2 linked regions of the Caenorhabditis elegans genome follow. The protein of the gene in region 2 interacts with the protein of the main gene of each other region in a pairwise test. Each region holds a gene or a part of one and is shown on either strand. Other genes may lie near its edges.

Evidence for each region. The genes of interacting proteins can lie anywhere in the genome.
Region 1: the proteins of rsy-1 (region 2) and uso-1 interact in a two-hybrid assay, tested with the Caenorhabditis elegans proteins (2 studies listed by BioGRID).

Annotation. Positions count from the first base shown.
Region 1 is NC_003282.8:13,451,764-13,456,604, reverse strand, and holds the start of uso-1 (Uso1_p115_head domain-containing protein), read left to right. Parts: upstream 1-1,806; coding exon 1,807-1,908; intron 1,909-2,823; coding exon 2,824-2,919; intron 2,920-3,105; coding exon 3,106-3,261; intron 3,262-3,324; coding exon 3,325-3,569; intron 3,570-4,823; coding exon 4,824-4,841. Other genes in the region: Y38H8A.7 (uncharacterized protein), read right to left, coding at 470-521, 572-671, 716-809, 879-962, 1,010-1,099.
Region 2 is NC_003279.8:11,215,994-11,223,883, reverse strand, and holds rsy-1 (Arginine/serine-rich protein PNISR), read left to right. Parts: upstream 1-1,888; 5' UTR 1,889-1,908; coding exon 1,909-1,954; intron 1,955-2,095; coding exon 2,096-3,123; intron 3,124-4,632; coding exon 4,633-4,813; intron 4,814-5,742; coding exon 5,743-5,991; intron 5,992-7,245; coding exon 7,246-7,511; 3' UTR 7,512-7,707; downstream 7,708-7,890. Other genes in the region: Y53H1A.2 (C2H2-type domain-containing protein), read right to left, coding at 45-194, 911-1,243, 1,295-1,375, 1,477-1,485.

The sequences.
Region 1 (4,841 bases), on a different chromosome or scaffold from region 2:
AAAAGATTTATGAATTTTCAAAGTTTGGAAAATTCATCTATTTTTGCCTATAAATGGTAGTTTTCATTAAATAATAAAATACGCACTAAAAGGTAGGGCTGAAAATGTACTATTTCTGTAACTACGTGAAGCTTCTTGTACCTACTGGAATATTATTGGTATATGCTGAAAGACCTTAAAATTTACTACTCAGATAAACCGAACCACGCAGGCACCGCTCCAAACCACGCAGGCAACGCGTACAAACCACGCTCAAGAATGCCAGTCCCTGCGTGGTTTCAACGCGTTGCCTGCGTGGTTTGGAGGCGACACCTGCGTGGTCTTGCAGCAATGGCAGTTCGCAGCCCGCTCCTTCCCCTTCCTACCGTTTAACCATCTAAAACGCAAAGTACGAAAATCTCAAAAATAACAACAAAAAAAGGTGGGAAACAAAATTAAGTCCATTAGGCAGTTGTTTTCGTCCCAGTGATCAGTGTGATGGTGTGTCCTTTTCCTGGCTCATCTTTTTCCGTGCGTTCAAGCTGCAATATTATTGATTTTTGGAAATACAAATTGATAGAAGGGTGTTTACCATTTTTGATCCACCTGTCGGGAGAAAACATCGCCAAAATCCGCACTCGGGAACTGTCCTTCGAATCCGGCTACAACATGTAGAATATTGTGAAGAACGCCTGAAAATTTTTGTTTAAAAAAAAATTGGACAAGAATAGCTTACTGATAGGACAATTGAGAAGTCTTCCTTGAAGAATCTGATGATTCACCGAATTTGGGTGGACACTGAAGGTGTGGAGGAGCTCTGGAGGAATTGTCTGAAAAGTGAACTATTTTAACTACATCTGGATTTGGAGAATTTGTGCAGCTGCCAAACTTCTGTTCACCTTTGACTTGGAATTTTCCGCGATTTTCCTAAGCTCTTTGAAATCCCAGTCCATAGTTCGAACGAACGATTCCGAAGGTTTTTTCTGAAATTTTGTTGCTATATATTTTTTAAAAATAAAGTTTATCTTACGTTGAAGCGACCAATCGAATGCGGCGCCTCCAGTCCATTGCCACGCCGCTTTCGGCCTCCTTTTGGGGTTTTTCGGGCCGGGGTTGACATATTTACCTGAAAACAATTATTGAGTTTCATGAAGAAATTGAAAATTAATATAAAAGTGCTTTTTGCAAGAAAAAAAACGGAAAATTCCATTAAATTAGGAAAAAAAAATAGAAGAAAAAGTTGTCCAAGAGGAGTACGCAGCCATTGGCCTAGGAATCCCGCGCGTGGCTGAACGTTGGCTGCCTGCATGGTATGTAGGCGTCACCTGCGTGGTTTTGCAGCCACTGCCAATAGCTGCCCACCGTCAAGTCGCCTGCGTGGTTCCTAGGCGTCACCTGCGTGCTTTTGGTTGCCTGCGTGGTCTTGACGCGTTGACTGCGTGGTGGGCAGTCACCTGCGTGGTTTGGAGCGGTGCCTGCGTGGTTCGATTTATCTGAGTACTCTAACTTGGGCATTTATTTGAATTATATTTGAAGTATATTCGGAAATTTTTCTTTTTTTGAACATTGAAACACATTGAAATAAAATAAAATAAAGTTTGCCAGAAATTTCAATTCCAGTAATTTGTTGATTTGCCTGAAAGCTAATATATATCGAAATGTATACATTACCCGTAATCAAAACATTTTGAAGTAACAGTATTCTGTTATTCTATCCGTTTTCTCTTCACTTTTCTCTCCCGATCAACTCACTCAATGTGCCCTCTTCCTACATTACACTTTTACGCACTCTAACACTCTCTGAGCCGATAGTTTTATTCAATCGAAATGTTCGCTTATTCAACGTCTTCAATTACCGGATCAACTCTTTCAGTTAGATCGTTTTCCAGTGACACGACAATTTCCAATGCGTTTTTCAATTTGCCTCAGGTAAAGTTGTTGCAAAATATATTGATTTATTGTTATTTCTACTTTTAACCAATGTTTTTCAATTTAAAAAATTTTGAATTGAGCATATTAGCGCTGATTTTTGTTTTTTTTTAATTTAATATTTGAAAATAGCCTGTCAATTTATAAAAAATCTATGCTTTATATTTATTAAAGATATTAGCCAGACGGGAAATTTTGCAATTTTTATGTGTTTTGCGCGAAAAATACGGTAGTTCTTGGTCTCAAAACGACAATTTTTCGTTGCATGGAAACGGGTGCTCTCCTTTAAAGAGTACTGTAATTCTAAACTTTTGTCGCTGCGGCATTTTATTCGACTTTTCATTGTTTTTCTTAAAATTTATGTGTTTTAATTGTTTTACTTCAGTTTTTTACAAAATAAAAACAGCCTTTTTTAACGAAGAACTATGAAAAAACGATGAAAACCCTGCAACAACGAAAGTTCGAAATTACAGTACTCTTTAAAGGCGCGCCCTGGTTTGAATATAACAAAAAAAAAGTCGTGTCGAGACCAGGAACCGTATTTTTGGCGCAAAAATCGCAAAATGTTGGGTATGAGTATAAAATAAAACACCGTGACCACTGGCTTGAGCCACGTGTACGGTATTTAGCTGAAAAGTTTCGATCGTGTCAGGACTCAAGACTGTTCTTTTGGGGGAAAACCCGAAATTTTCGTGGGCAGCTGGTACTCTTCTTTCTGGATTTAATCCGGATTTTGACAGAAAATGTTTTCTCGACGATTTTATTGAAAATTTCCATCTGTTTCCCAAACTTTCTCCAATTTTTTTGAAATTCTTGAATTCAGTATAATTATTATTCAGTTGAATATGCAAATTTTGTTATTAAAACAATTGAAATATTTGTTTTATTCACTTTTTGAGCAGATCTTTTTTTCAGAGCAATTTCCGTCAACGTCTGCAAGCGAAAAAACGAAGTCCGAAAAGAGTCAGCAAGCGCGCTCCATTGAGAACGCATCCTCCAATTCCACGACAGGTTTTTCCACTTTTCTCTTCTTTTTTTCCCGTTTTTTTTCATTTATTTTATGTTAAAATTCAGAAAATAAAGAAAAATATTTAGAAATAAATAAATTAAATTAAAAAATGCATTTAATTATCATTTATATTCGCTCAACAACACGACAATCCCATTTTCCGCTCACTGCCACGTGTAGCTTTGCAGATGTCGCTGTTTCGGAACTTTTTTGGCGGCGGACAGCAAGATGAAGACGAGGATAATGGAGCTGAATATGTAGAAACACTTGTGGAACGAGCAGAAACTTGTACGGCACCAGAAGACCGTCGAGATGCGTTGAGAGGGCTGAAAGGTGTCGCAAAGGTGAGAGAAAAAATCATTTGAACTATTAAAATTAAACAATTAAAATTAAACGTGTAATTTCAGAAATATCGATTAGCCGTCGGAACAATGGGAATGAATGCATTCATTGACGTGCTTGAAACAGATCGCATGAACACCGAAGCCATGACAATTGTGCTCGACACGATGGCAATCGTTTTGTCAACAGACGACGATTCTTCAGAATCCGATGAATTAGGAGAACGATTAGCCGAAGTGATGATTAAACGAAAAGGCTTCATTTCTTCAGTTTTATGCGCCGTTGAACAATTCGATATTGGAGTTCGAAGGTTTTTATTCCGAAATTAACGAGAAAAAAATCAAGATGCTTTAAAAAATTCACTAATTTCAGCTAAAATCTCCAATTTCGTCAACTTATCGGTGTCACAACAACCGCAAATTAATTTTCTTTTTAATTTATCCGTATTTTCTCCGATTGAGATACATTTTCAGGCCAAAGGCACTGAATAAGGGGCCTATCGACTGAAAATTCCTCAAAAAACGGCAAAATATGATTATAATTGAATTAAATCGATTTCCGGCTGTTGCGAGACAATCTTCGAAATTAAAAACACCTGATGTTAGGCAAAATCCCCAATTTTGCTCCTTTTTTTGCGTTACAACAGTATAAATACAGTCTTTATTGCATTTTTTTTTTGGTTTGGTATCCGATTTTTTATTATCTTTGGTGTTTGCTTTTAATAACGAAATAACGTGAGATCAAATAAAATATGAAAATTCGATAAAAACTGCATTGCAGCAGTCCTAACGCGGAAAAATTGATAAAATTGGAGATTTTAACTGAAATTAGCCCGTTTTTCAGAAATTTTGAGAATTATATCTTCAAAATTAGTGTATTTTGGCGCATTTTTAATTTTTACGAGCAAAAATTCCCCCGAATCCTCCTTTAAGGAAGATTTCGGACGATTTTGAACGTATACCCCCAAAAATGGGCTCAAATAATCGAACTTCGTATTGAAACTGCTCGAAAATGTTTGAAAAACTTTTTATGGCGGTTCAAAATTTCGAAAAAATACACTGATTTTAGCTAAAATCTCGAATTTTGGCCTTTTCTCCGTGTCGCAGCGGTTCGAAGTTGACTTTTTTGGAATTCTCGTCCTTTATTGAATATTTTGGTACTTTATCTCATATTATTTCGTTTGTTAAAGTACATTTAAAGACGATAGGTAACCGTTTTTTATGATTTTTGGCTACTTATAGGCTTTAAATGTACTTTAATAAACGAAATTAAATGATATAAACTACCAAAATATGCAAAAAAAGGATGACAATTCCAAAAAAGTCAATTTCGGACAGCTGGAACACGGAAAAATGGCCGAAGTTCGAGCATTTAGCTAAAATCAGTGTAATTATATAATATTTCGAAATTTTGAACCGGCATAAAAAATACAAAATTTTGAAAATTTCTTGAGCAGTTCTATTACGAAATTCGTCCATTTGAGCTCATTTTTGAGTCTTTACGAGCAAAAACCCCCCGAATCCTTCTATAAATTATTTCAAAAATCTGTATTTTACTATTTCAGAACTGCAATTCAGCTGAT
Region 2 (7,890 bases):
AATTTTTTGTCAAATTTTCAGTGAAAATTCGATTTTTTTGCTACCTTCCAGTGTCTCCGGAGACTATCTGGGCTCTGATAGCAATATCCACATTTTTGACATTTATAGGCGTCCGGATTGCGGTGTACAACGATATGATGCTTGAGACGTCGTTCCGATGTGTACTTTTTCGGGCATTCCGGGCAATTGTGCTTCTGAAAATTCGAAATTGTTGGGCGAAATCCATGAAATTGTAGTTTTTAGTCATTTTTATAAGAAAAATCGGGAGAAAATCGGTTTTTTCGGCCGAAAATAGTTTTGGGTGAGGCTCAGGGACTACAAACTACAATTTTCTTAGCCTCAACCAGTTTTGCGTTAGTTTTTGGTGTTTTAGGATTGAAAAAGTGAGTTATAAGCTTAATACATTGCAGTTTTTAGTCATTTTCATATAAAAAAATTGCAGAAAAATCAGTTTTTTGGTCGAAAATGTTTTGGGTGAGGCTAACAGACTACAAACTACAATTTTTCTAGCCTCAACCAATTTTTTTCGTAAAAATTGAAGGTTATTATCGTAAAAAGTTAATAAATATCATGAAATAGCCGTTTTTACTCATTTTTATACAAAAAATTGGGGAAAACCGTTTTTTTTTTGGTCGAAAATGTTTTGGGTGAGGCTAACAGACTACAAACTACAATTTTTTTAGCCTCAACGAATTTTTTAATACGATTTTCAACTGAAAATTAGGTTTTTTAATAGTATAAATTAATTTTTAAGCGAAAATTGAATAAAATCCTATTTAAAATGATTGCGGTTTGTAGTTTGTAGTCTGTGAGCCTCAACCAAACGAATTTTCGTCCTATTGGCTGAAATTTGATGATTTTTCATGTTTTCAGGGCAAAAATTGTTAGAATCGGGGTTTTTTATCAGTACCATTTCACTTTGGCCATCCTCATCATCTTCGTGATCCTCTATTTCTTCCGGATGCTCAGATTTTGGAGAAATTACTCGATTTTCCACGATTTCTTGTGAAAATTCTGGATTTCTAGGATGAAAATGTGATAAATTCGAATAATGAGCTTGTTGCACAGATTGCGGGGGCGAATATTGATTTTTCGGTGAACAATTTTGAGGCACATTTTGCGAATTATTGTCGTAGACCAGCTCATATTCGTCGGTTTTCTGCTCCGCAAACATATTTCTCATTGTAGTGAGCACTTTTGGTCCATCTTCGTCTGATGTGTAGTTTGAGGAACAGGAAATATCCTGAAAAATTGGAAAAAAAAAGTGATTTTGCAGAAATTTTCGGGGAAAAACCTCTATTCCACTTTGTAAATTGAAGTCATCGCCGAAAAGCATGTAGTTTGGACAGGAAAAATCCTGTTTTCTTTCTGTCATCTGAAAAAAAAGCAAATTTAAATTTAAATTATTCAAAAAACAACTATTATCGTTGAAAATTGCTGCTAAAAATTAAATTAAATTAAATTAAATTAACCTACCGTAGCCATTAAAGGCGCATGCTGTGTTCCCTCGAATGGGTTTCTACACGAAATTGGAAAACGTCGGATTTCGGCAGGAATTCTGGAATTTAAAATCACTTTTCTCCAAAAATTAAATATATCGATTCATTTTCTTCACATTACAAACAAAAAAACACGTTCAAGTATCTGAAAATCACACAGAAAGCCGCCGTCAATAAAATTCGGTGGCCGCGTGGCCGTGGACTAGGTTTCGTGTAAAGGAACGGCCATCGACATTTTTTCGATTTAATTCTATTTTAGAATATTTTCAGCGCATTTTTAAAGCTTTTAAATAGAAAATCTAGCTGAAAATTTCGAATTTTTGTTAAAAAATGCTAGTTTCCACCTTTTTCCTCCCAAAAAAAACCAATAAGATCGATATTTCCTGCAGAAAATCACAAAACGAGGGAAATGGAAGATTGGACCAACTATCATCAGGCACAGCCGGCGGAAAGTGGTATGGCGTTGTGATTTTATTGAAAAATTGAATTTAAAATCGAAAAATTTGGCAAAAAAACACGAAAAAATCGATTTTTTTCGAGATTTTCGCGAAATTTTTTTAAATTTATTTAAAAATTAATTTTCGTCTATTTTCCAGTCGACTGGGCCCAGCTGGCCCAACAATGGATGGCGATGCGCGACACAGACGATCGTCGAGCCGGAAATTCACACGATTTCGCTCAAAATCATCAGCTCCCGTGGCATCAGCCACGTCATCCGGGCCCTCCGGCTCATCAGGATTGGGGCGATTGGTCCGCGAATCGGGACGAGCAGTGGAGAGGGCCGCCTGGGCCTTCTGGGCCGTCCGGGCCCCCCGTATATCATAATCAAGGCCCGCCTCGTGGATATCCACCACCACCGCCACAGGGAGCAGACACGTGGCGTGGAGCTCCTCCACCAGCTCACCACGGACACTTTGGACCGCCTGGACATCATTTCCAAGGCCCACCACAACATTTTCCGCCAGGGCCACCAAGGCCGCACTTTCCAGGCCCCCCAGGCCCACATAGACCTCCAGAGCACTACCCAGGGCCTCCAAGACCTCAGGCTCCAGCGGCACCACCACCGAAAAGCCTATTCCCGTCGGCCCAAAAGCCTAAGCCACTTTTTGCGGCGGCTTCAAGTGCTCCAAGCTTCTTCGGAGCACCTCAACGTCCACCACCGCAGCTGCACTTTTTCCAGGAGAGCCCCTCGGTCCAGCACGATTTTCAGCAGCCCGATTTCCAGCCCGATTTCCAGCCCGAAAACTACCAAAATTCCCCGGAACCCCCGGCCCAAGCTGGCCCGAAAGGTGTGCCTCCACCGGCTCCACTAATGGCTTCAGGGCCCACAAACCCGTATGCAATGAACAAAGAGGCCCGGAAAAAACTGCCGGCCTGGATCCTGGAAGGCCTTGAAAAGGCCGAACGGGAGAAGCAAAAGCAGTGGGAAAAAGAGGAAAAGCTGAAGAAAGCGGAAGAAGAAAAAGCCCGGCGAAGAGCCGAAGCTGGAAAGAGCAAATTTGACTCTTCGTCGGATGAAGAGAGCCCGGAAAATGAGAAATTTCCTGTTGGTAATGGAAAATCTGAATATCAGGAAGATGATAATGATTCGGAAGACGATTTGGAGGAGAGACGAGAGCAATTTGTACGGGAAATTCTAAATTCCTGAAATTTCCGCAAAAAAAAACCTAAAAACTACAAAAAATTTGAGAAAAAACGAAGATATTCTAAATTTTTAGAGGAAATTTTTCAAAATTTGAGAAAAAAAACCAATTTTTTGAAAAAAAAAATCCAGCTTTGTAGTTTATAGTCTCTCAGCCTCAACCAATATTTTTGGTTGAGGCTCACACACTACAAACTACAAAAAATTTTGAGAAAAAACCAAAAATTTGTCGAAGATTTTCTGAATTTTTAGAGAAAATTGCTAAAAAAATCGAGAAAAAACCGACGAAATTTGATCAATTTTTGTTGGTTCAGGCTCATGCTCAGACACTACAAACTACAATTTTCGGGTAGCCTCACCAAAATTATATTTTGAACAAAAAAATCAATTTTACAATGAAATTTTTGTATTTCGAGGAAAAATCGTTTCTTTTTTTACTTTTATTTCAAAAAAATGTTGAAAATTTGAAAATTTTAGCCGGCTAGACTACAAACTACAGAAATTTTTTTTTTTAAATTGTATTTTCCCAAGATTTTCTGAATTTTCCAGTGTAACTCCTAAATCCTAAAAATAATTCCTATAAAACACCGAGTTTTTGATAAAATTTCAAAAAATCTATTGGTTGAGGCTATGACAATTTGTAGTTTGTAGCCTCTCAGCCTCAACCAATATTTTGGTTGAGACTCACACACTACAAACTACAATTTTCGGGTAGCCTCACCAAAATTAAATTTTGAAAAAAAAATAAATTTTTCAATACAACTTTTGAATTTCGGCAAAAAAATCGTTTTTTTTTTCATTTTTAATTCAAAAAAGTTTAAAATTTTAGACATTTTAGTAGACATTGGCGTTTTTGATGCCAGCTAGACTACAAACTACATGAATTTAAAAAAAAAAAACAATTTTCCCTAGGTTTTCTCAATTTTTCAGCGTAAACCATAAAAATTCCAATAAAAAACCCAGTTTTTGATAAAATTTACAAAAAAAACATTGTTGAGGCTATATGACAATTTGTAGTTTGTAGTCTCAACCAATTCAAAAATTGGTCGAGGCTCAGACTACAAACTACAATTTTTAAGACAGCCTCACAGAAATTTAAATTTTCAAAAATTCAATTTTTTCAAGATTTTTTAAAAAATTTTCTAAAAAGTTTTGAAATTCGGGTAAAAAAAATTTTTTTGTTTCAAAAATTTTATAATTTTGATGCCCGCTAGACTACAAACTACAAAAATTTCGAAAACAAACCTTAAAATCTTCCCAAGATTTTCAGAATTTTTCAGTCAAAACCTTTAAAAATGCAATAAAAACCGAATTTTTGATAAAATTTCAAAAAATCTATTGGTTGAGGCTCGCGTTTTTGGAGGCTGTTAGACTACAAACTACAGAACTTTTGAAAAAAAAAAATTGAATTAAAAATTAAAAAAGGTCCATTAAGTGGAGAAAAACCTCTTAAAAATTTCAAAAAAAAAATTTTCGAAATTTTTTTTCCAGATACGCTGTGTGAAAACTCTAATGATGAACGTGCTCCTCGAGTCTTCGAATGACGTCATCATGCGTATAATACAAGAAGAGCTCCGTGAGCACGAAAAACTTCAATTTGAACGGAAAAAATTGGCAACTGCGCCGAAAATCATCGGCAACAGCTCAGCGTTGGCGGCTCTCGCGGCTTTTGGTATGGAGAAGCTCGCGAAAATTCGAAATTCGGAAAAAACAATTTTTTTGACCAGAAAATTCGGTTTTAAAAGTTTTTTCCAAGTTTTTAATTTAAAAAAAACCGAAAACTTTAACATTTTTGAAATTTTCTTCCAAAAAGCTATGAAAATCGTATAATTTTTCATAAAAAATTCATAAATTGTTCCAATTTTTCGACGAAATTTTTTTAAACAAAAAAAATTCGATTTTATCGAGTTTTTTGAGCTAAAATTTCAAAAAGTTTTTTAAAAATTGATTTAAAAAATTCGAAAAACGAAAATTTTCAACATTGTCTTCAAAAGTTTCACATTTTTTAAAAACTTTTTTCTAAAATTTTCGAATTTTCCATATTTTTTTTAAATTTAAAACAGTTACAATTTTGAAACAAATCGAATTTTCTGGTTGAAAAATTTGAGATTTTCCGAAAAAAAAAGTAAAATTTTTGATTTTTAAATCGAATTTTTCAAAAAAAAATAGCGAAAATTTAGATTTCCAGAAAATTTTAATTTTATATAAAAATTGTGTTCAAAAAGTTCCTGAAAAGCTCTTCTTTTTCCTAAAAATTCAAATTTTTCAGAAAAAGTTTTCAAAAAAACATTTTTTTTTTTTGGAAAAAATCGGTTTTCAGAAGCTTTTTTAATTAAATATTCGTTATAAAAAACGATTTTCGAACAATGTACCAAAAAAGAATTTTTAGTTTAAAAATTTCAATTTTTTCGATTAAAAATTCCATAAAATGTGAATTTTCAATTTCTCGAAAATTGTAAAACTAAAATTCAAATAAAAAAAGCCTTTTTTTGCAAAAAAAAAGTTGAGTTTTCAGTTAAAAAAAAAAACGTTTTTTAGAGCTAAAATGTCATATTTTTTGAAATTTTATTTCAAAAAATTCAAATTTTTCAAATTTTCCAGGAGACGGTGAGGATAGTGACAACAGCAGTGACGATGGAGTTGGCGACGACATGGAGCCACGGCAGGAGAGCAGTGGCTCGGCGGAGCTAAATGGAGCATCAGGGGCAGCAGAAGCAGGAACACCAGAAGCTGGTGGTGGAGAGTTCAAGGCTCCCGTGGGTATCCCTCGAAAGTTTAGTGTTAAGACAGATGATGTCAAACCATCAGTTAATGATGATGGTGAAGGTGTTGATGATTTACACGTTCCAGGTAAGGTAAACTAATGAAAAATATAAAAATATATTCACTTTTTGTTGAAAAAAATACCATTTTTGCTAATTTTTTCCCCGATTTTAGCGTCAAAAATGTGTTTTTCTGTAGTTTGTAGTCTATTAAAGCGCGAATTTTCAGCCAAAAAACTTCAAAAACCTACTGGAAATCCACTTTTTTGAATTAAAAATTCAAAAATTTCAGGAAAATCTGCAAAAAAAAAATGTTTTTTCAATATTTGTGTGAGGCTATGTTATTTTGTAGTTTGTAGTCTCAGCCTCAACCAATTTTTGAAATAATTGAGGCGCGCTGGAGACTACAAACTACAAGTTTTCTTCACAATTTTCACTTTTTTCCGCCAAATTTGAACTGAAATTTTTTGGGATTTTGGGACATTTGGGATTTTGGATTTTTGGGACAGAATGGTTTTGTAGTTTGTAGTCTCGGAGCGCCAATTTTCAGCCAAAAAAAATAATATTTTATTCCAAAAAACCCACTGGAATTCCACTTTTTTTGGATTAAAAATTCAGAAATTTTCGGAAAATCTGAAAAATTTTGAAAATTCAGTTAAAACCGCTTCTAGAACTCGAAAAATCTATTTTTTAAATCCAAAAAAAAATCTGAACATTCCTGAACATTTGGTGAGGCTTTGCTCATTTTGTAGTTTGTAGTCTGTGAGCCTCAACCAATTTTTGAAATAGTTGAGGCCGGAGACTACAAACTACAAGTTTTCTTCACTTTAGCAGAGATTTTTCGGGAAAATCTCACTTTTTATCTAAAAAATTTCAAAAATTCTTTTCTTTTTTCAATAAAATCTCTGAAAATCCAAATAAAAATCCAAAAAATTTTTTTTTTCTAATTTTGTAGTTTGTAGTCTGTGAGCCTCAACCAATTTTTGAATTGGTTGAGGCTACAAACTACACATATTTCCCAGCCTCAACCTAGATTTCTTCATATTTTACTCATTTTTTAAAGAATACAAATGAAAAGTGTGAATTTTTGAAATTTTCACTCGCAAACGTGTAGTTTGTAGTCAAAATATTGGGATTTTACTATTTTGGGTTAGGCTAAGCTGATTTTGTAGTTTGTAGTCTTCGGCTAAATATTTAGAAATTTCCTTTCAAAAAGTCTGTAGTTTGTAGTTTGAACCTTGATTGAGGCTGATGTGATTTTGTAGTTTGTAGTCATTCTCTAGACTACATAGAACTACACAATCTACACACAAAATTCCGGAAATAATATTCAAATTTTCAGATTCAAAAAACGGCGATAATAAAAAATCGGAAAAATCGTCGTCGGAAAAGAAGAGAGAACGAGAGATGAGAGACGATGAGAAGGAGAGAAAATCGAGTAAAAAGAGCAAAAAACGATCGAAAAGTCGTGAAAAAGAGCAATCTTCATCACGACATAATCACCGATCGAGAAGCCGATCTTCGGAACGGGATCGCCGTCGAAAACGGTCGAGAAGTTCGGAACGTCGGAGGGATCGGGGGGACAGGGATCGGCATAGTCGACGTTGATTTTTATTGATTTTAACGATAAATTATTGATTTTTCCGATTTTTACCGCCGATTTTTTCCACCAATTTCTTGCTCCAAATTCTCATTGTTCAAAGCCGCCCGTTTTTCTGGAAAACTCCCAAAAAATTATTTTTTTGTATTACCTATGATGACATTTTCCCATTGATTTTTTTTTGCTTAATGTATTTTGAAGTTTTGTTTTTTCGTTTTTGGTTTCAGCATATTTCAGAATCGCACAATAAATTCTAATTTCGCGCCTGAATTTTTGGAAAAATAACTAAAATTTGAATTTCCCGCTAAAATATTAAAAATAATTTGAAGTTCGCGCCAAATTTTTTGTTTTGAAAATTCGAATTTCCCGCTGAAATATTTAAAATTT